Linked DNA regions of Macaca mulatta. The protein of the gene in region 2 interacts with the protein of the main gene of each other region in a pairwise test. Links are inferred from orthologs where the notes say so. Each region holds a gene or a part of one and is shown on either strand. Other genes may lie near its edges.

Evidence for each region.
Region 1: the proteins of FAM118A (region 2) and ATOX1 interact in binary tests that used the Homo sapiens proteins (3 or more experiments, as listed by UniProt). The two-hybrid records come from large-scale screens. The link is inferred for Macaca mulatta from reciprocal best matches to the Homo sapiens genes FAM118A and ATOX1.
Region 3: the proteins of FAM118A (region 2) and MOB3C interact in binary tests that used the Homo sapiens proteins (3 or more experiments, as listed by UniProt). The link is inferred for Macaca mulatta from reciprocal best matches to the Homo sapiens genes FAM118A and MOB3C.
Region 4: the proteins of FAM118A (region 2) and WDR4 interact in binary tests that used the Homo sapiens proteins (3 or more experiments, as listed by UniProt). The two-hybrid records come from large-scale screens. The link is inferred for Macaca mulatta from reciprocal best matches to the Homo sapiens genes FAM118A and WDR4.

The regions. Positions count from the first base shown.
Region 1 is NC_133411.1:160,688,363-160,694,200, forward strand, and holds the start of ATOX1 (copper transport protein ATOX1), read right to left. Parts: upstream 3,727-5,838; 5' UTR 3,646-3,726; coding exon 3,640-3,645; intron 1-3,639. UniProt on the Homo sapiens protein: Binds and deliver cytosolic copper to the copper ATPase proteins. May be important in cellular antioxidant defense.
Region 2 is NC_133415.1:6,138,793-6,144,085, reverse strand, and holds part of FAM118A (protein FAM118A), read left to right. Parts: intron 1-2,591; coding exon 2,592-2,624; intron 2,625-3,565; coding exon 3,566-3,649; intron 3,650-5,293.
Region 3 is NC_133406.1:193,972,380-193,978,308, reverse strand, and holds the start of MOB3C (MOB kinase activator 3C), read right to left. Parts: upstream 3,895-5,929; 5' UTR 3,741-3,894; intron 2,186-3,740; exon of another isoform or gene 2,020-2,185; intron 435-2,019; 5' UTR 385-434; coding exon 1-384. UniProt on the Homo sapiens protein: May regulate the activity of kinases.
Region 4 is NC_133408.1:4,614,328-4,620,384, reverse strand, and holds the start of WDR4 (tRNA (guanine-N(7)-)-methyltransferase non-catalytic subunit WDR4), read right to left. Parts: upstream 3,347-6,057; 5' UTR 3,289-3,346; coding exon 3,200-3,288; exon of another isoform or gene 2,800-3,199; intron 554-2,799; coding exon 488-553; exon of another isoform or gene 481-487; intron 1-480. UniProt on the Homo sapiens protein: Non-catalytic component of the METTL1-WDR4 methyltransferase complex required for the formation of N(7)-methylguanine in a subset of RNA species, such as tRNAs, mRNAs and microRNAs (miRNAs).

The DNA.
Region 1 (5,838 bases), on a different chromosome or scaffold from region 2:
GAAATGCACAATCTCAGGTCCCTTCCCAGAAGTCCGGAATCAGAATCCTCATTTTAACAAGACACCCAAGTCATTCCTGCCCACATTACAGTTGAGATGATGCTCTCCTCTATTAAAAAATTTTTTAGGCAGGGCAATGTGGCTCATGCCTATAATCTCAACACTTTGGGAGGCTGAGGCAGGCAGATCACCTGAGGTCAGGAGTTCGAGACCAGTCAGGCCAACATGGTAAAACCTGTCTCTCTACTAAAAATAGAAAAAAATTAGCCAGGCATAATGGCAGGTGCCTGTAATCCCAGCTACTTGGGAGGCTGAGGCAGGAGAATAGCTGGAACCCAGAAGGCGGAGGCTGCAGTGAGCCAAGATCATGCCACTGCACTCCAGCCTGGGCAACAGAGCAGGACTCTGTCTCAAAATAAATAAATAAATAAAAATCTAAAGGCTGGGTGCAGTGGCTTACACCTGTAATCCCAACACTTTGGGAGGCTGAAATGGGAGGATCACTTGAACCCAGGATTTTGAGACTAGCCTGGGCAATACAGTGAGATCATGGCTCCATTTAATTTAAAACAAAAAAAAAATGTTTTGCAAAAAAAAAAAAAAAATGATGATGCTCTAGAACATGGATTGGCACAATACAAGCTACCTGTTTTACAAGGTAAAAGGTTTTGTTAAAACATAGCCAAACTGAGGCCAGGTGTGGTGGCTCATGCCTGTAATCCCAGCACTTTGGGAGGCAGAGGCAGGAGGATCATGAGGTCAAGAGATCGAGACCATTCTGGCCAACATGGTGAAACCCCGTCTCTACTAAAAATACAAAAATTAGCTGGTAGCGGTGGCGTGCGCCTGTAATCTCAGCTACTCAGGAGGCTGAGGCAGGAGAATCACTTGACCTGGGAGGCGGAGGTTACAGTGAGCCGAGATCATGCCACTGCACTCCAGCCTGGCGAGAGAGCAACACTCTGTCTCAAAAAAAAAAAAAAAAAAAGAATCAAAAACAAAAAACCATAGCCAAACTCACTTGTTTACTTTTGCACTAGAATGGCAGGGTTGAGTAGTTGTACCAGAGATCCTGTGGTTTGTGAAGACTAAAATGTTTACTATCTGGGCCTTGTAAAAAAAAATTTGCTGAGTCTTGCTCTAGGATAACCAGCAGAAAATTGATTAATCAATGGTTTGCACTTATATACTGAGCCAAAGTTTGGAAGGGTTTGCAAGATCAACCTAAGAGCTAAATCTACTGATTGTCTATTATATGTCAAATTGTCTTTATACAGTATCTAAGCTAGTCCTCACTGAGCCTGGAAAGAAAGCTATTTATCTTATTTCACTCAGGAGGAAAGTGAAGTTCCCAAGAGTTCACTAAGTGGCCTGCAGTCATGTGGCAAATACCTACTGAGTATGGAATATGAACCTAGGCTTTCTTCGCTCCAGGGAAATCCTGCTCGTTCTGGAATAGCAAAGTACACCACCAGCTCTCATAACCGTGACTCTCAGCAGAAGCTCCGAAACTAGAAATACATTTTTAGGGAGCACAGTTTTTTGCTGCCCAAGGACCTGAAGTCAACAAATACCTGAAACTTTCAGTTGCTGATTATAGGGAGTAGGTCCCATCCCCTACAGTATAAAGGTCAGAAGTCAGAAATCAGCTGCTGGGTATAAACATTACAGTTCAGTGCTCTCCTCCTCCACCTCTGAGGGGCAAAAATAAATTTGAGGGTGATGGAAAAACTATTTCATGGACAGAGTAATCACTTCTTTATAGGAGAAGCTCAAGATTGGCTCTACCACCGGATGCATAACTGGGTAGTTCTGGTTCCTCAAGGCCTCTGGGGTCTTTCATAAAGACTTATAAAATGGGTAGATTTTAAAGTAGGTTTTAAAAGTCAGTAAGTGGGGGCCGGGCACAGTGGCTCATGCCTGTAATCCCAGCACCTTGGGAGGCCGAGGCAGGCAGATCACAAGGTCAGGAGATCAAGACCATCCTGGCTAACATGGTGAAACCCGTCAGTACCAAAAATACAAAAAAAAATTAGCTGGGCGTGGTGGCTGGTGCCTGTAGTCCCAGCTACTCAGGAGGCTGAGGCAGCATGACGTGAACCCGGGAGGCGGAGCTTGCAGTGAGCCAAGATCAGCCTGGGCGAAGTAAGTGGGACGATTTTTTTTTCTTTTTTTGAGACGGAGTCTCGCATTGTCTCCCAGTATATATACATATTAACATATATATATGTTTTTTTCTTCCCTTTCCAGTTTTAAGGCAGTCCCTTGACTAACACCCTCCTTCCTTCAGCTGCTCATCTTGTGGTACATGGTGCCAAGCGCCCTCCTCATTCCCATCATTTGCTCCAGAGGGTCTTTTGTCAAAATCCCCAGAAGATACAGAATACACTGATGATCAAGCTGGACTTTTCCTCACTGCCACCCCCCACAAAAAATCCTGGTGACCTTCACTCTCTAAGTCCCAGGGAGATTAATACTGTCTTCTACCATTGCCACAGGCTGACTTGCTCAACTGGTAGGGCTGATTCTGTCAGATTCCTTATCCATACTTTGTTGTTGGAGGATTTGTCTCAAGGCACCTGGCAAGGTCCAAGGGAAATGACACCTGAGATGTTAGTGGCTCTGCCCAGGGGGCGTCAGGCTCACCTGTCAGCTCCCAAAGGACAGGCTGCTAAGACACATGGCATCTGTGGGATACCTCTTGATATCCACCTGGCCCAGAGCCATGAATTACGCACCTCGAAGAAAATGCTAAACACCACATGACCCTAACCAAGATGCAACTGAGATCAGAGCATCTTCCCAAGCCGGTATGACTGCTTTTGCCAGGCACCTCCGATGTGGTCAGGCCTGGAGAGATGGGGAGCCTAAGGATAAGGAGCTGAATCCTGGCTCTGCCAACTTCAACACGACCTGGAATAAGTTACTGGGTTTTTTATATTTTTATCTGTCAAAGCCCTCAATTCTTTTTTATATAAAAAACGAGACCACGAGCAACAATATACTGAGTGATCTGCAAAGGCAGGCTCAGACTGACTTCCCAGACTCTTGCCACTGAGCAACTGGTGACTTTGAGGGGGGTTCCTGAACCTCTCTGGGGCTTATGGGTTCAGGCTGACAAAGTGTCTCCATTCAGAGTCGCCCAGAGCTGATTTGAAAAGTAAGCCATAGTGGCAGGAAAATTTAGAAAAAATCATGAACCTCTGAAAACCTGCCCGGTCCGTGAGGGAATAACCGGGTCCATCCCCATGCCCAGAGCCTCCCGCCCTCCTTCAGGCCAGCTAAGCGGGCGGGGCAGCCAAGAGGAAGGCTCAGGGAGTAGGCGTCTCAGTTCCCGCTGGCCACCAACTCCCCGCGTCCTGCTGAGCGACCCCCTGCCCCCTCTCTGGGTCTGTTTCTCCGTGTACGCAGGAAAGGTGTGGGCTTGTCGCCCCTGGAGGCCTTCCAGCTCCGACGTTTTGAAGCCTGGCTCCTAGATTAAACTCCCTTCGGATCCCATTTTCTGAAGGGTCGCAAAAGCTGGGGGCTGGGTGGGGTAAGCTGAGCCCTTCAAGAGAAGCATCCGGTCAAGCTGTTGTGCAGCCAAGGAGGAACCCGGGGACTGCAAGTGTGCGTGGCGGGCACGGCGCAACCACTCACCGGCATAACTAAGGCAGCGGCAGCGGGGCGGCGGTGGCAGCAGCGCCTCTGGGCTCGGAGGGCGGGTTCGGCTGCGCTTCCGAGAGTGCGTGCTAGAGGCACCTTCCCGGAAGCCCCACCCTCTCCGGGCCAGGTCGCGAGGGAGGCCCCGCCCCCTCCGGGCCTCAACCCTGCCGGCCGCACCGCCTCCTTTCCGCTGGCCGCGCTTATGGTCACCCGGCCTGGACGGAGAGAGGAGGTGAGAGGAGCGCTGCGTTGGCCTCCATCGACTGTCGGCCTTTTTCAGAACGCCTACTTCGGGTCAAGCTTGTGTTAGGGAATACCAGAAAAGGGCACCGCCTTGAATAGGACAGATTCATCCATCCCTAAAAGGACAGTTTCACTCATTTATTCACCGAGTCAATGTCTATTGAGCGCCAGCCAACGAGGACGCAGCGGTGTAAAAGATGTAGCAGGAGGCTGCGAAGGACGCAAGCAGTGATAGTGCCGGGTTAGCAGAGCTGTCGTGGCAGAGGAGGAAGGGCCCTGACTGCAGTGGGGTGGGGGTGGTTGTGGAAGAGAGGCGGCCTGGGGAGGAGGCAATAATCTGGACCTCAGTTAGCCTTTATCGCCCTATTACAGGCTCTGTCTCTAAATGCAGTCGCATTGGGGGTTAGGGTATCAACATAGGAATTTTGGGGAACACCATTCATGTCCATGTCAGAGTTCAGTCCCTAACAGAGCCATACTGACTAGAGTTTTAATCTCAGCTCTATCATTTACCAGCCGTGTGACCCTGGGCAGATGAACTTACCTCTCTAAGCCTCAATATCCTCACGTATAAGATGGGGACAGTTAAGGTGACTATACAATTTTTTTTATCTAAACCTTTTGCTAGAGAAAGGAGATGCTATTAATAATTTTGCCAGGACAACAGGCAAACACCATGACTGTTTCAGGCAAACAAGGACACATGGTTCCCTCCAGGAAACCTACTTTGTGGTATTGTTGGAATACGTGTAATGTATGCAGACTTCTAAGCACATTGCTTGGCACATGGTAGGCACCAAAATATATAAGTATTCTCTAATTGCTAGGCCCTCGGTTGGCCTCCCTGGCACTGGGTTTTCCCCTGCTCACAAAATACCCCTTAACCATTCATCCCCTACCCAACCTGCCAGGAATTCCCTAAAGATGGAAGGGATGGGGGCGAGGAGGAGAGGGAAGGAGGGTGCTGGCACATTAGGTCCTGTAGAGGCAAGGCTTAGCATCTTGGTAGTCCTGGGTGCAACTTTACACTGGGGCTAGGGATAGCCAGATTGCCATGAGGGAAGGTGGAGGGTGGCCATGAGGGAACGAAATCCTTCCCAAAGGCAACAGTGCACAGGGCGAGCCACCCACGGCATGTTTTAGAGAATTAGGGGTAGGAGTTGGGGGTATGGCTAAGCCTAGAGACAGCAATTTAAAGAGAAGACAGCTTTATGAAGATCTGTTAAAGATCGCAAATAAAGGCCTATTAAAGAGAAGAAAATATGCCAGACTGTAGTTCCTGCATAAAGATATACATACATTCCGTGTATTTACATAAAAATAAGCCTGAAATCAACTACAGCCAATGTTACTAGAAGTTACCTTGGATAAGTGTAGGATTTGCAGGTGGAATCCCAATGTGCCTACTGTTTAATTTTCAAATAACACAAAGTAGCATACAGTGAAAAGTAGGTCTCCCTCCTACCCTGACCTCTCCTTCTTAAACAAAAGGCATACTATATGCAGTTTTGCACCCTGCTTTTCTCACTTTATAAAATATCTTAGAGGTTATTCCTGGGCCAGGTGCAGTGGCTCATACTTCTAATCCCATTGCTTTAAGAGGCCCAGGTGGGAGGATCACTTAACCCCAGGAGTTTAAGACCAGACTAGCAACATGGTGAAACCCCAGCTCTACAAAAAACACAAAAATTAGCCAGGTGTGGTGGCATATGCCTGTGGTCCCAGCTACTCAGGAGACTGAGGTGGGAGCATCACTTGAGCTTAGGAGGTCAAGGCTGCACTGAGCTATAATTACACCACTGCACTCCAGCCTGGGTGACAGAATGTGACCCTGTATTTTAAAAAAAGAAAAGAAAAGAAAAAGAAAAAAAAGATTATTCCTTAACAGTACATATCAATCCTTTTCTTTCTTGCCTTTTTTTTTTTTTTTCCTCTTCGAGATGGAGTCTT
Region 2 (5,293 bases):
TTTTTCTTTTTGTTTTTTTTTTTTTTGAGATGGAGTCTCGCTCTTGTTGCCCAGGCTGGAGTGCAGTGGCGCCATCTTGGCTCACCACAACCTCCACCTCCCGGGTTCAAGGGATTCTCCTGCCTCAGCCCCCCGAGTAGCTGGGATTACAGGCATGTGCCACCACGCCCGGCTAGTTTTGTATTTTTAGTAGAGACGGGGTTTCACCATGCTGGTCAGGCTGGTCTCGCCCTCCTGAAGTGCTGGGATTCCAGGCATGAGCCGCCGCACCTGGCTGCCTTCGCTTTTCAAGTACGAAACTCACAGGGCTCTTCCAGTTGTTGCTCTCTCTCTCTTTTTGATGTAATTCACGTATCCAGAAAATTCACCAATCTTCCAGTTATTTTTAAAAACTGCATCTGTAATTTAAAATGAGAAGATTGGAGTAATTGGTGTCCTAGTGACAGTCTGTAACTAGAACTTTAACTTCAGGCTGGATGCGGTGGCTCATGCCTGTCATCCCAGTTTTTTGGGAGGCCAAGGCAGGAGGATTGCTTGAGCCCAGGAGTTTAAGACCAGCCTGGGCAACATAGGGAGACCTGGTCTCTACAAAAATGTTTTAAAAAATTAGCTGGGTTTGGGCTGGGCACGGTGGCTCACGCCTGTAATCTCAGCTCTTTGGGAGGCTGAGGCGGGTGGATCACGAGGCCAGGAGATTGAGACCATCCTGGCTTACTCGGTGAAACTCCGTATCTACTAAAAATACAAAAAACTAGTCGGGCGTGGTGGCGGGCGCCTGTAGTCCCAGCTACTCGGGTGGCTGAGGCAGGAGAATGGTGTGAACCCAGGAGGCGGAGCTTGCAGTGAGCCGAGATCGTGCCACTGCACTCCAGCCTGGGCCACAGAGCGAGACTCCGTCTCAAAAAAAAAAAAAAAAAGAAAGCTGGGTTTGGTGGTGGACATCTGTGATCCCAGCTACTCTGGGGGCTCAGGTGGGGGGATCTCTTGAGCCTGGGAGTTAGAGACTGCAGTGAGCTGTGGTCAGGCCACTGCATTCCAGCCTGGATGTCAGAGCAAGCCCTGTCTCCAAACACAAAACATAAAGTAACTTTGAAGTTTACAACTGTACCCATATGTATAGCTGGACACATTTATTCCTGTTTCAGGTTTCCTTAACCAAGAAAGAAAACTACCAGGCTAGCTTTATCAGTTGTGATACTTAACACTTGAAAGATGCAGATACCTCATATTTGTGTCCTGTCACTGCAGTTGAAAAGTTACAACTTCACAAGCACAACCTGATTTCATGATGAACACTTGACTTCTTTTTTCAAATGATGTATTTTCCCTGTTCTGAATGTCCCTGTTCTGAATGCAGCACCTCTTTTAAGTAGTGCTCCTTGGCCCTTTTCAGAAATTGCTCATCTATCAGGAATGACCAGGATAATTGAGAAATTTTAAAACTTGGTCATCTTGACATAAGGGAATTAATAGCTGCGAGTTTGGCATCATAAAACATTGATGATGGCAAGCTTGGAAAGGCCTGTGCTGGCTCATTTAATTGTAACAGGAAACCCAGGCACACTCACCATACACTGGAACCAGGTTAGCCACAGAGGCAGGTGTATGTATCCAGCTGTGAACTTGGAGACTAGAGAATGCACAGATAATCCAACAGCTCAGGTTTTTCTTGTTTTTTTAACCACTATCATTTCTTTTCAAAATTGCTAATAATTAGCAAAATGGACCAATGTAAGTTCCATTTCCATAAATAAAAGTATAATTCTTATTAAGGGCAGAAGAAAGGAGCTCCTGCTTGCCGTGTGTCACCCCCTACTAGGAGTTCCATATTCTTACCTTAGTTGGGTTTTCAGTGGCAGCACGCAGCGCCAGTAAGCAGATGATTTCGTAGACGAGACGAGTGGAGCTGGCACAGGCACACAACGTGCCCAGTTAGCGCCCAGACATTTTGAAGCTGGGATTGGGATCCTGGCCTGACTGCAGAGCAAAATACACCATTTGGTGCGTCCTGGCACCAGCCCAGTGCGTGGCTCTGCAGAGAGGCAGCGGGCTTTCCTCATGTCTGCCCCCGTCCGCCGCTTCTCATTCCACCCCCACACTCCCCGAAGAACAGGGCCCAGAGCAACCCTGCATGTGCTCGGGCTCCTGGAGTGGGGCTGAGCAGCTTTCTGTCCCGCTGAGGCTCCCTTTCCAGGTTGGGGCAGGCAAGTGGATTCGACAGGCTGCCGGAAGACTGCAAGGTCACTGGGAGTTTTAATCTGTGACTGTCATGAAGGACATTTGTACTCGAATTCATGGAGTGCCACTCCTGATGGGAGAGGAGGCCCATGCCAGTGACAGTCATGTTAGCGACCACGGACACCACGCCACGCTCCCTGTGCCAGCTGGCGCCTTCAGCGAGTCCTCGCACCAAGCCTGGAAGGTGCAGAAGAGAGGGCAGCGGGCGGCCCAGGAGCCCACCGTCCGTGTGGGCCGAGCTGCCCAGAAGCCTGTTGCCAGTCACTGCCGTTCCTAGTCACTGCCTGCCAGTGGCTGAGGAGGACGAGCTCTGGGTGTCTCGGCTCCACTGACTGCTTTTCTTTCTCCTTCAGATGCTGACCGAGTGGACAGCACCACATTATTGGGTAAAGCAGATCTTTCTTCTCGCCAGCCTGTTTTTTGCCTACACATTCCATTGTCTTCTGTCATTCACTGTAAAATCATAAACGTTTGTTTTTCACCTTAAATAATTAGCTTGTATTAAGACAGCCCCACTGAAGATGATAAATAGCCATGCATTAGCATGGTGCCTGCCACACCGAGACACTAAAAGCCATCCCTTTGACGAGGAAGCACAGCCGGATCACACGTGGGCCAGCTGGCACCTGAGAATAATTTCTTGCCCTAGAACCAAGAGTGACAGGGGACTTGGAACAGGTTCTATTTGTGGGATACCTTGTGGGGCAAGATGCAGTGCCTTAGAATGACCCAGCTCTTCCGCAGCGTTCATTGCACGGGTCTGAGCTTTCACACAGAAGCTTCTATTTAATCCTTGTTTGAAATGTGAACGCTCTTATTGCTGGGCTCAGTTCTGCCTGGTTATACATTTAACAAGACTTGGTGGCTACAAGCGTCCTCCTGTGTGTGAACTGGGCACCAGGTGCCTCCCCTTGCTGAGCCATTTGGGTAAAAGGGACTCTGGTGAGTGGCGCGGAGGCCTCTGTGCGCAGCCCCGTTTTCCCTGCCTGTTTGGCCCAGTGCGTTCACAGATGAGAAAACGCGCATCGATGTGGGAGCTGCTCGCATCACATCCATGTTAGTGGTGCGGGAAGTATAAAACCGCCGCAGTCAGCTTCCCATCCACCTATTCCCGTGCGAAAGGACGTCTTTATTACAGTCGCTTTCTTACTGAAATGCGACTCCCGGAAGCATGGCTTTCTTTGGAGAGAAGCCGTAGTGCGGTCAGTGTCATCTGCAGGGGATGGCAGGGTCTGTTTGGCCTATGCTTCAGTAAGGTCACATTTATAAACTGTGCCTCGGCGGGTGGATTCTAAATAAACAAGCTTAATACATTTTCCTCTTTCAGGTAATGCATGCCAGGACTGTGCAAAGAGGAAGTTAGAAGAGAATGGAATTGAAGTTTCAAAAAAACTCAGACAATCAGATACTGGTATTGTGTCCGTTCTTTTTGTGGGGAGCTGCCTCAGGTCTGTCTGGTTGGCAGGCATCTTCAGGGACCATGCCGCGCTTTAATGCTCCGGGCCCTGTGGTGGGAGGATGGTGCATACATTCTGTCAGGGCCAGAGAGCACAGGAGGCTTAGCAGAGACCCTGACCTCTCACCCCAACCCAATTCCAACTGCCCAGAGGTGCTGGTGCCTCTTTAGAAAACTGTTATGGAGAAAACATACACTAGGAAGGTGCAGCGGGCAGAAGGGTGCTGTCTACAAAAAGAAAAGTTAAAAACATGAATAAAAAGTGCACAAGTTATGTAAGGTCAGCTCAGTGCATTTTTGCAAAGTGCACGCTCCCATCTAATCACACCCAGTTGAGGTAGCAGCATTGCCAGGACCCCCCTTGTCACTCTCCAGCCTTCTCCAGCCCCTAAGGGTGACCACTAGCCTGATGCATGTCACCCGAGTCTCTGTAGAAAAGCACTTTAAATCATTTGAGCTGTGCTGCCTGTTACAGACTGAGATGTAAGTGACTGAACTATCTAAACAGTGTATTTGAATAGGCCTCTCTGTTGACACTACGAAGGGCGATCTCGCTCGTTCGTGCCGGTCCCTCCCTCTCCCCTTCTCCTCCTCCTCCCAGGTTTGCGTAGTGCTGTGTGTTATTTCTCATTCTTTAAATAACAGACTTAAGCCAGACTTCCCAACACGAAGCCTGGGCTGGATGGCCACCCGCTTGCGTATCCCACCCCCTGGCCCGCCGGCTTCCCCGTTTTGTTGCTCTCCGTGGTGACAGGACAGAAGGGAAATGAGACCCCCAGTCTGTCTGTAGGTTGACTATAAAAGTCGGCAAACAAAAGCATTTCCTTGATGAAAACAGCGTCAGTGTTCTTTCCTGCTTAGCCAGCTTGTGGCGGTGGCCGTGGGCCCAGTGCCACGGCACCTGTGCCAGCTGCAGATGTGTTCTCAATGTCAGGGTCAAATGTGGCTTGTTCTTACATTCCATTCTCCCATGTTTTATTGTTTAATATTGGGGCTTTGAGACATTTGTGTTACTTCTTATTTTTTGAGGAGTTTTTAGGTTCTTCTTTCCCCTTTGTTTTCCAAAAAATAACATTTCCCAATATTCTTAAATGTATGCATTCCCTCAGCTTTCAGAACTAAGAATTTTTTTTTAAAAAAAGTATGCATTCTCTTCATCCTGCCACCCCACGTCTCCCAGGACACCTTCTCCTGGTCAGCTCCGTGGGGGACTGCTGTGTGCCTGCCTCCCGAGCTTCCCTCCTCCTCTCTGAGATGGAGGCCCAGGTCTCCCTTGTTCTGGCCCCCCGTCCATCCTGCTAGTAGCTCCTGAGGCTGCTTCTGCAGAGCCCTGTGCGGGGTCGCCTCCCGAGGGCGATGTGTCTGCAGGTGTCTGTGCCATCCTCACGCTCGTTGGTAGTTTTGGCGTGGGATTCTTGGTTGTGATTCCCCCAGACTCCACTGTCTGAAGACCAGGTTTCCTATGAAGAGGGTCTGATGGGAACCTGTTCCCAGTGATTTGAAGGTACCCGTTGCTTTTTTTCCTGGGAGTTTTTAGGGTCCCCTTTTCCCTTGAGTAGAAATCCAATGAGGATGTATTTAGGTGGAAAACTTTTTTTA
Region 3 (5,929 bases), on a different chromosome or scaffold from region 2:
GAGGCCTTCGATCCAGTCCATGAGCAATGCCATATAGCGCGGTGCAGAGAGCTTGGCCGGCCGCCGGTACTGGCGCTCATCTTGCCAGCGGTACTCGTAGCGGGGCCCACCGGCCATGACCGGGCAGCTGGTCTCACTGCAGCGCTCGGCCATGGTACCGTAGATGAGGTTGATGCGGTTGAAGAAGTCCACCACATGCACAGCGATCCAGTCGTCGATGTTCTCCCCGGGTGGCAGCCTCACCACACTGCGCAGGTCCAGGCCCGACTTGAGAGAGGCCTGTGCCTTCTTGTACAGCTCAAAGCGCTGTGTGCCCGGCTCAAAGCGCTTCCGCGGCCGGAACGTCTTGTCCTTGGCGAACACCTGCTTCAGGCACAGGGCCATGGCCAGCTGGGCCTGGGGCTGCTGTCCAGGGGCTCAGACCTGAGGATACCCTGCCAGGGACAAGGACATGGGGGAGCTGGCGGTCAGGGCCTTATCATCTGGAGTCTGACTTCCCAATTCATCATTTCCCTGTCACCTCTCAGACTTTGCTCAACCTCTGCATCCCCTGCCTGGGAATCTAAATCCTCAACCCCTAGGTCCAGTGCCCCACCCTCTTTCCAGGCTACATTAGTCCCCCTTGCTAAGCCCCACATCTTGTTTGTCTCTTTTCTGCTTTCATTGCAGAGCTGGGCCTGGGCTCTAAACAGGTGCCCCTCGGACTTGCTGTTAGTCATGACAGAGGTAGCAGAGGCTCCCTGCAGGCCCACCAGCAGACAGGGGCTTGGACGAGATGACCTCTAGGAGCCCCCTTGGCCAGCTGGTGCAGCGTGGGAAAGCCTCACAGCATTGTGCTGGGGGCAGGGTGGAGGGGGTGGGGGATGGCTTTCGGCTTCCTCTGGGATATCCCGTAGTCTATCCGGCCACCGGGGATTCCCAGGGAGCAGCAGGGAACTTTTCTACCAAAAATGTCCTTTCCTTTTTTTTCACCCTGAAAGAGGAAAGGGCCCTCCGGCTGCCAGCGGGGCGGCTTCTGAGTGTGGCTGCAAGCACTGGAGGAGGGGGAGGGCGGCAGATCAATGAGGGCATCGCTTCCTCTGACAACAGCTGGAGATCCTTCCCCCGAAGCCAGCCTCCTCCGGCCCCAATTCTGAACAAGCCACTGGCCCCTCCCCTTGCACCTGACACTCAGTAGACATTCCTAGAGCAACTACTATGTGCCTGGCACTGGGAGGTAGAAGAGTATAATCAGATTTATCCAGGAGGGCCCATGTAGACCTCAGGCAAATTTGCTTTGCCTCCTAGAATTTAAGGATCCCAGATTCAGAGCAGACTTCGGGAGACAGTGATCAGGGCCCTAGGCTCAGAGGCAGGATTCCTGGGTTCTAGTCGCAGCTCTACCATTGGCTTACTGGGTGACCCCTGTATCACCATGGATTTGGCCCATCCAGGTCCTGGGTCACTCTGCTATAGCTAGGTTTCTAAGACCTGAGTCATCTCATCTCACCTGTGAGTGTGTGAGCTACTGGGAAATGCAGACCCATGTACCTACCAAAACTAGAATTTAGCCACAAACTAAGCACTGACCCTGCCCCTAGACTGAGCACTAAGGCTGAGTATAAGCTAAGAATTGCCTTCTTTTTCCAGGCTGACCTCTGACCTAGGCTCTGGCAAGTGTGAGCCCTGACTCTAGCCTTTAGCCCTACTCTGAGGCTTGCTTATGGCCAAAGCCTGGGCTTGACCTCTGACTGATGCTAGAGCACTGTCCTTTCTCACATCTCTGGTAACCCTGGGACAGGATTGGGGAAGGGAGGGTGGGAACCAGGTGACAATTGGGTAAAAGCAAAGGGAAGGCACATATTGCGGGAGGGGTATTCTGGCAAGAAGTCAAACTAGCAGGGGAGATGTTTGAGACAAAGGTCCTTCCTTGAACCCACAAAGGCAGGCCAGGATGGGGGCAGTCTGGTAAAATGAGAGCAGCTTGGAGGGTAGAAACAGGCCATTCAGCAGGAACTTGTTCTCTTGAAAAAAACTCACAGATGTGAAAGGTCATCTCATCCATCCTGACTCTTCAACTTCTCACCCAAAGAAGTCCCCAGGGTGGGACCCCAGTTTCCTGAGCAAAGAGGAGATTTCTGCGCTTCACTTGCCATCTCCATTTTAAACTCTGCTTGGGGCAAGTGCTTCCCAAATCCCTCACACTGCAATTAGGCGGGGCTCCTGGGCTCCCCACATTGCATGACCCCCTTTATGACAGTTAGAAATAGGCCCCCACCTTGGCATTCAGCACCTTGTCCTACCTTTCCTGCCCCACTTCCCACCTCCCCACACCAACCACCCTGGGCTTCTTCCTGATTCCTGAACACGCCCCCACTCTCTTGCCTCTGCATGTTTTCTTATACCTCCACCTGCCTGACCATACATCCTCAGATTGGCTGCTACCTCCTCCCACAGCCTCCTCTCCTGAACTCAGATCTCCTTCTCCTTGGGTAGAGGCTGCTTTTGGTCATCGCAGTCTCCATTCCATCCCCAACCCAGCCCCAGCTTAGGAAAAGGCCTGGCACAAAGTCAGTGTTCAGACTTGAAGGAAAGCTTAGACTAGAATCTTAGAGTTAAAATAGCCCTGATAGATCAACTGGCCCAGCTCACTTGTACACATGGGAAAACTGAGGCCAAGATGAGGAAACTGAGGCCTAAAAATAGGACTTGAGGAGCCTGTGTTCACACAGCAAGTTACAAGCAGAATTGGGAACTGAGAGGAGGTGGGGCTCAGCTCATGACCAAGGGTAAAACACCATTTTCCTACACTGGCTTATCAATGGTCTGGTGCAGACAGAGAAGAGGAGGGGAGTGGAGGGACAGTGGAAGCATCTTCTCCACCAAACAGCCCAACCTGCTTCCTGTCCCCAACACACTGACTCCGCACAGCAACTGGGATGTCCTGACCAGTGAGCTAGAGTTCCACCTTACTCCTGTGGAACTTCAAGGCCTGGGTCTCTTTCCAGGAAAACGTAAGCTCAGGGGGTGGGTGCAAGGCAGGTACTCTTCTAGCCACAGGGTTAACTCCCTTCACTCTCCACCCCCATGCCCTCACTGAGTTTCTGTCACAAAACCTCTGTCCCTCCCTGAACCATTGCTGTTCCCCCTCCTAGCCCCCATTTCCCAGTGCTGGCTATCCTTTCACTCCTGGAGTGGCAGTGGCTTGCTCATTCCCTGGGTGGGGATGTGGGCTTCTCAGATGAAGACAGCAGGGTGACCCTCCCTGTTTCTGATATTTAGCTCCCTGCTAGGCTACATCTACCACTCCTTGGGCCTGGGCCAGAGGATGGCCCCAGTTTGAACCCAGAATCCAGCCTGGGACGCTCTTCAGGACAGAAGTCGAAGAGAAAAAGTAGAGGCGAAGACTCCACGCTCTCCTTGAGGCGCGCAGCCACCCACGCCCACCCCCGGCTTCCCTGCCCCCCCAACCAGCTCCCAGGGCCAGGCAGGTCGTAGGACCCAGAGGAGCCCGCCTGACATTTCCGCTCCCCGAAAACACGCCCCCCAACCCCTCCCCTCTGCCCCGTACCGCCCCCTCCAACCCCACCCCAACTTTCGAAGCTCTGAGCCTTGGACCCCAGCCCCAAGACAGCGGCCAGTCTGCCTTCGGGCGGGACTCTCCTCCAGACCGTGCCACGCCGAGACAGCCGAAGAAATGAAAGTGGAAGCCAGGCGGGCGGGGTGCGCGGCGAGGCCGCAGGGGCACGGCGCACACTCACGGGTCCTCCTCTGGCCGCGGGGTCACATTCCCAGCCACAGGGTCGCCCTTCCCTTGCCGGTCCCGCAGTGCCTGTTCTCTCGCCTGTCAGCCTGTCCGTCTGCCTGTCCTGCCGGCTGCGGCCGCCCTCCTGCCCGGGTGACGCCAGCTCCGCCCCGGGCCCGCCACGCCGCGGCCACGGGGCGGGGAGGGGCGGAGAAAGGGGACTCCCCTCCACCCCAGTACACAGACGCACTCGCCCCCACCCTCCCGGAAAGTCCATATCGGGCTCCCAGCTTCCCCCTGGACAAAGGACTGAGCTGCCCGCCCCCTCAGTGCTTCCTTGGACCTCCACCAAGGAGGCAGCCTCAGGTTCCCAGACGGTAAAATGGGGAAAAACTCGGCTTCTTCTGGAGCAGAAACAAGAGCTGCTAGATAAGGGTGGTTTCTTTGCCCTCCTAGAATCGTCTGCGTCACACTTGTCCCGGGACCCGATAAGGGATCAGGACTGGCCTATCCACTCCCATATCCTCAGCTCCTGGCACATAGCAGGAACTCAAAACCCACTTGATGGATGAATGAATGAATGATTGAGTGAAGGAATGAATGAACGCCTTGGGAATCATGAGCTGAGTCCTTCACCCCTGAGGGACAGGCCCAGAAGAGCCTCAAATCACAAACTTCATCTCCTCACCAGGGAGGGGGCCTGGCTCAGGCTGGGCTGATTCTCCTTGCTCCTCACCCAGAGTCACCCCATTTCTTACCTCCAGACCTGTATCCCAGCTGTTCCATTTTAGAATACCTTCTCTCCCTCCTTCCTTCCGACCAAATCCAAACCACTCAAGATCCGATCTGCTCTCCCTATCACCTGGGTTCCTTCGAAGACAGAGAGATATCTCACCAGCATTCAGTGCACACTGTGGCCCCCAGGCCCAGGGACCAGTTGGCTGCTCTGTCTGGGATGGGAGGGAAGATTGGAGGCCTTCTAGGTAGGAAGACCAAAGCAGAGAGCTTAGCTGTAAAAGCCACTCTGGAGGGGTAGGGGAGAGCTAGAGGCCAGAGGTGGGCATTTACTATGGCACACTGGACACTCCTTGTGTCTGGACCTTCTGTTTGCTGGATGACATGAGAACACGCTAGATCCTTAACCCAGATCATATCCTTTGCAGCAACATGGGCTGGAGCTGGAGGCCATTATCCTAAGCAGACTAACACAGGAATAGAAAACCAAATACTGCATATTCTCACTTATAAGTAGGAGCTAAACAATGAGACTACGTGGATACTAGGAGGGGAACCGCAGACACTGGGGCCTGCTTGGGGGGAGGGCGGGAGGAGGGAGGATGAGACAAAAATACCCATCAGGTACTATGCTGCTTACCTGGGTGATGAAATTATCTGTACACCAAATCCCCATGACACAGAGTTTACTTATATAACAAACCTACACATGTACCCTTGAACCTAAAATAAAAATAAAAAATGAATCCCAGCTCATAGAACTGTGGATATGTTCTTTTGTTGAGCACCAATTTTTGCCCCAGTCTAAAGTTCTCTGTATTTTTATGTCTGACTCTTAACTCTCTGCCCTGAATCCCCTATAAACAAACACTTGCTTATGGAGCAAATTAAAATATGCTTCTTTATTTGATATCCTAATCAATATCTTTTATTAAGTATAACTCTCCACTCATATCAGATCAGGGGATTGGGTGATGAAGCTGACCTGGTTGCTGACCTCAGGTGCTGACAGGTCAGTAGAGGGAACAACACAGAGAGATACACAAGGTCAGAGCTCAGTCACCCAGAGGTGAGAATGTGGTTGTGGACTAATGGACTTTGTAAGAGTAGGGGTATTTGCAGGAAGTACATAGAACACCCAGAACGGGTATGTTTAACAAAGACATTATTTACAGGTAGGGTCAAGGTGTAGGGAAACCACACAGACAGTGTATCACCAAAGGACTCACAAGAGCAGAGGCTGTCAACCCTAGGCTGCAGGAGTGTAGGAAAGGAGTGGTGAAAGTGGGAGCTCTGAGGAGGGGGCAGCTGTGGCCTAAGGTGGAGGGGTATACCCAGCCCACAGCAATCATATAGGGAAGGACGGGGGGCAAGTAAGAGACCTCACTCTCCTCCCTCTCTCCCTCCCTCTGATCTCTGGCCAGGTTTCCCCCACTAGCTGAATCCTCCCAGAAGCTAAGAACAAGGGAA
Region 4 (6,057 bases), on a different chromosome or scaffold from region 2:
TCTTTTTTGTTGTTGTTGTTGTTGTTGGAGACGGAGTCTTGCTCTATTCCCCAAGCTGGAATGCAATGGCGCAATCTTGGCTCACTGCAACCTCCACCTTCCAGGTTCAAGAGATTCTCGTGCCTCAGCCTCCCAAGTAGATGGGATTACAGGTGCCTGCCACCACGTCCAGCTAACTTATTTTTAGTAGAGACAGGGTTTCGCCATGTTGGCCAGGATGGTCTGGAACTTCTGACCTCAGGTGATTCATCCTCCTTGGCCTCCCAAAGTGCTGGGATTACAGGCATAAACCACCACGCCTGGCCAACAATGTACTCTTAATGCCTAACTTGAAAGTTACTTTTACATGTCTCTGCTGAGGTGGTACTTACCCGCACCACTGTGGGACAGAAGCTAAGAATTCAGCAAGACAATAATCGCTTCTTAGACCCTCTGGTCCCATTATCGAACATTAAATCAGGCCCTGAAAAGCTTCCCCACATCTCACCCTTTATTTTCTTGTGACTTCTTTTCCGCAGCACTGCAGTCATAGATGAAGAGGCTGTCATCGTCACTAAAGAGAAATAACAGAATGATTTTAAAAGGAGTTACCATTAGACAGAAATAGCAACTTTTTAAATATTTTTTTTCTTTTTTTTTTTTTTGAGACGGAGTTTCACTCCCATTGCCTAGGCTGGCGTGCAATGGCACGATCTCGGCTCACCACAACTTCTGCCTCCTGGGTTCAAGTGATTCTCCTGTCTCAGCTTCCCGAGTAGCTGGGATTACAGGCATATGCCACCATGCCCGGCTAATTTCGCATTTTTAGTAGAGACGGGGTTTCGCCATGTTAGCCAGGCTGGTCTCAAACTCCTGACCTCAGGTGATCCGCCCACCTCAGCCTCCCAAAGTGCTGGGATTATAGGTAGAACCACTGCACCCAGCCTAACAATGATTTTTATTTTTATTTTTTGAGACGGAGTTTCACTCTTGTCCAGGCTAGAGTGCAATGGTGCAATCCTGGCTCACTGCAACCTTGGCCTCCCAGGTTCAAGCCATCCTCCTGTCTCAGCCTACCAAGTAGCTGGGATTACAGGCATGCACCACCACACCCGGCTAATTTTGTATTTTTAGTAGAGATGGGTTTCTCCATGTTGGTCAGGCTGGTCTCGAACTCCTGACCTCAGGTGATCCGCCTGCCTCGGCCTCCGAAAGTGCTGGGATTACAGGCGTGAGCCACCATGCTCCGCCTGCCTAACAATGATTTGTAAAGGAGCACTTTATTAAAATAAAACAAAACAAAAAAATGTTGATTTTTTTTTCTCTGTGGAACAAAAAATATTTGCATACTCATTAAAAGTCTTTCCTTGACAAGAAAACTGTCTAGATACAATATTTCAGAGAACAGTTAACAAACTTTATTTGCTTAATCTCTTATTGGAATATGTCATACACTACCTGCACAGTTCTGTGGGAAAAAAAAAAGTTCAGTAAAACAAATGAGGGATAAATACTCAACAGGAATTACTATGCTATTCTCTCAGGCACCAGAAAATCTATGCGGCATGGTTATAAGAAATCATGTTCTGGCCGGGCGTGGTGGCTCAAGCCTGTAATCCTAGCACTTTGGGAGGCCGAGACGGGCGGATCACGAGGTCAGGAGATCGAGACCATCCTGGCTAACATGGTGAAACCCCGTCTCTACTAAAAAATACAAAAAACTAGCCGGGCGAGGTGGCGGGCGCTTGTAGTCCCAGCTACTCGGGAGGCTGAGACAGGAGAATGGCGTGAACCCGGGAGGCGGAGCTTGCAGTGAGCTGAGATCTGGCCACTGCACTCCAGCCTGGGCTACAGAGTGAGACTCCGTTTCAAAAAAAAAAAAAAAAACAGAAATCATGTTCTGATACTGTTGAGTTTTCAGTGGGATTCTGTATACAAATTTCAAAGAGCCATTACCTATTTAGAAACATATCTCACCTACCTGAAAATGTTCCCATGACCCCAAGCACGTACCAACGTAAGAATTACCCATCTTCCACACCGAACCTAAACGCTAAACTCTCTTCAGTTTATCCCATCCCATCCCTCAGCACGTATCCTGTACATATTTATAGCCTTTAAAGTGAGTGCACCAAAAAACTTTCCATATGGAACCGTAGACTTGTCTTCCAAGTCAGAAACTCCACCAACCACTAGAATTTCCTCAAAATGCATAGACTGAAGGTAAGCAGATCATGTCTAATACATCCACAGCTCACTCTGGCAGGTATTAGACCGGGAGTATAAAACAAAATCATCTGGGATACGTGACAAGTTTCCGAGTACAATTTTTGTGAGACCTAATTTAACATCGAATTGGCTTTCTGAAACCAAACGAAGAATATACAGTGCATGTGACAGACGCGTCGTCCGTTTCAAGTATGAAATCACAAATAACCTGGGAAAGAAAACGAGGGGCTGAAACTGACAGCACTACTAATTGCTCCCAGAGTCCTGAGTTAAGACTATTCCATCAACAAACATTAACTAATTTAAAAATCCCCGGCGTCGTCCTAGCACTGGCGATACACTAACGAAGGAGAATAAAATTACGGAAAGCAAAACCCGAGCCGTGTGAAGGGCCACTAGGAGGTGCGCGCTGCGAGCTCTGCGTGCACCCTTGGGTCGAGTAAGTAAGTGTCGGAGATGACCTGGAGCGTTAAGGAGCAATTAAGGCCGGGTGAGTGGATGCAGACCGGGAAGAGGGAACGGGCAACCCCTGCAAGGAGAGGGAGCGCGCTCGGAGGTCAGTGAGCTCGCCATTAGCCCCTCCCTTCTCACCAGGGAGACCCGAGACCCACTTCTTCCCAGTTCTCCAGAGCGTGTTCGGCCGGGCCTTGCTGACTGGTCAGCAACGTCCCACGTGCTCTGCCCACCCGGTCCCCGCCGGCGCCGCGGAGACCGGAAGTGACCCAGCGCTAACCGGGCAAGAACACCGCAGACCAGCCATCTACGGCAAGGAGCGCGCCAGCGGCCGGGGAGGGAGCGCCGAAAACGCACCCTCCAGGCGCAGACACGCGGCCAGGCGGAGACTGCGGCGGAGGGCTCGCAGGATGGAGCGGGGTTCCCCGAGGTCACTCCAGAGCAGGTGCGACCAAGCGGTGCCGGAGAAGCGGGGCCGCCAGGACCCGACGCGCGCCCGCAGCCTGGGCACCCTGTTCCAAGACCAAGGCCCCCTCACCTGCTTGCTGTGGAGGTGGCCAGGAATCGGCTGCCGCCCCGCACCACCAGCGTCTGCCCGCACAACGCCAGTCCCACAGAGCCCGCCATGTACCCGCCCGCCTCGCCGCCATACACATGTGCCCGCCTAGAGCCTCTTCCTGTCTGCACCGGTCGCTGACGCCAGGCGCGGACGCCGACAGATGACGTAGCCCTCACCTACTGCGCATGCTCCAGGCGAGCCTGCCTTGAGCATGCGCGGCAGGCGCTGTGACCGTCCTCCCGGTTGGGATTCGTGGCCTTCGGTGTTTCGGGCTTGGCGGTTCACTCACCAAGGTGATCTGATGGCGTGCACTTCGCACGATTCCAAGTGCTTGCCTAATGTTCGTCCTTTCCTCTAGACGGGGTAGGGCTGGTTCTGGATCTTTTTCCGCTGTAACTGGAGAGACCTGATAGCTACTTGATGCGTGCCTCACATGAAGTCAGCAGTTCGAAACTAGCCTGACCAATATGGTGAAACCCCGTTTCTACTAAAAATATAAAAATTTGCTGGGCGTGGTGGCGTGCGACTGTAGCCCCAGCTACTTGGGAGGCTGAGACAGAAGAATTGCCTGAACCCGGGAGGTGGAGGTTGCAGTGAATCAAGATTGCCCCACTGCACTCCAGCCGGGGCGACAGAGCGAGACCCTCTCTCTCAAAAAAAAAGAAAGTCCAAAATGTGGTCATGGGTGTGGGTGTCTCGGGTGGCGTTAAGTCTGAGGTCGCTAAAGGTAAGCCTACTTAATCTTTGCACTTAGAAAAGCCAAAGATGCCTTAAAATCTCCAAACTAGAGTGATATTTCCAACCCAAACTATGGTTAGTTTCCAGTGTTCATCCCAAGATCCCCCAAAGCCTCTTACAATCCCAGCATCAGGCACAAAATCTAGGATCTCATGGTCTGTCTTAGATTGGCTTGTCCAGTGCAGCTTCTCTTGATTCAGAGACTTACAAACTAAGAAGATGAATTTTCTCTCCCATGCACCCAACATATGATGGTGAACCAGGACCAGATAACCACAATAAATACTTGCATGTGAAAATGAGAAGAGGAGGAGACAGAGCAATCACGGGGCCAGAGCAATTCTCAAATCCTATTGGAAGCTGTTTTCAGGCCCTACAAGAATAAGAAGTTCTCCTTAACCAGGCCCGAGTTCTGCTTCCTGGGAGTGCCTCCCCAGGCTGTATCTCCGCACAACTCTTGCCTCTGCCCTCTTGGGTGTCCCTCCTTTTCCAGCACCTTCTTGGCCATTTTGAAGAAAAAGGCTTTTGAGACACTTTCTCAACCTACTTCCTGTCATTAGCAAATTGTGGACCCACAGATCTTTTTTCACTCTAAACTGTTCTCTCCACATTTTTGCAGCTGGTGGTGCTTTGTTCACTACAAGTCCCTTAAAAACTTTGTGGGCTTCTCAAGCATCCGATTCAGGTGCTCTCCATGCCCCAGAAGCCACTCTCACTAGTCTTTTTTTTTTTTTTTTTTTTTTTTTTGAGACAGAGTCTCACTTTCTCTCCCAGGCTGGAGTGCAGTGGTGCGATCTCGGCTCACTGCAAGCTCCGCCTCCCGGGTTCATGCCATGCTCCTGCCTCAGCCTCCCTAGTAGTTGGGACTACAGGCACCTGCCACCACTCCTGGCTAACTTTTTGTATTTTTTAGTAGAGACGGGGTTTCACGGTGTTAGCCAGGATGGTCTGGGTCTCTTGACCTTGTGATCCGCCTGCCTCGGCCTCCCAAAGTGCTGGGATTACAGGTGTGAGCCACCACGCCTGGCCAACACTACCACTAATCTTGTTGAAACAAGCCTCGCTCTAAGATTTTTAATAAATATTTGTATATTGCTGAAAGGGTATACTAGTTAACATTTAAATCATTGAGATCACCTTGACTTCAGCATTATTCTTAAGGCCATATTTTACTAGCACCACTCTGAATTTGATCTTTGGCCCAGGTTATGACTTACTTTGAGACCTTGTTACCAACTATAGAGTCTAATAATACTTTCCCCAGCTCCAACCCAATGTATGTTCTAAATTCTGCTAGCGAATTTGTTTGTTTTTAACCACACTCTTTTCTATAAGTGTCTCAACATATTCAAGCAAAAGAAAAACAGGTTAATCTCAACATTATACTGAGATGATTTTTTTCAAGTCCCAGAATTCAGTAGTTGCCTTTTTCTCTGCCCATCTTACTGAAGGGAAACAATTTTACAAATCCTTCACCATGACACAGAGTCGTTCACCATTTGTCCACCTCCAGTAGTTTTTCTCACCATTGTTCCAGTGTTCACTACCAATTTCCCCACTGCTTTTCCAGGCATCTAGTCCAAAGCTAATGCCACATGTTACAGTAGCACCCACTGCTAGATACAAATGTCTGTAGCATGCCTATCTTCCTTGTAGTCCTAGATACAGATCAACAAGCTCATGAAAACTATCACTTTTTTTTTTTTTGAGATGGAGTTTCGCTCTTGTTGCCCAGGCTGGAGTGCAATGGCATGATCTCCGCTCACCAAAACCTCCACCTCCCGGGTTCAAGCGATTCTCCTGCATCAGCCTCCCACGTAACTGGAATTACAGGCATGTGCCACCATGCCCAGCTAATTTTATATTTTTAGTAGAAACAGGGTTTCTCCATGTTAGTCAGGCTGGTCTCGAACTCCTGACCTCAGGTGATCTGCCTGCCTCGTCTCCCAAAGTGTTGAGATTACAGGCATGAGCCACTGCGCCTGGCCCAACTATGGCCATTTTTATAATTCATCGATTACATTAGCCTAGAGTGAGTGTGGGCTTTCTTTTTCAATTAAGAAATTTATGGATTGGCCAGGTGCAGTGGCTCACACCTG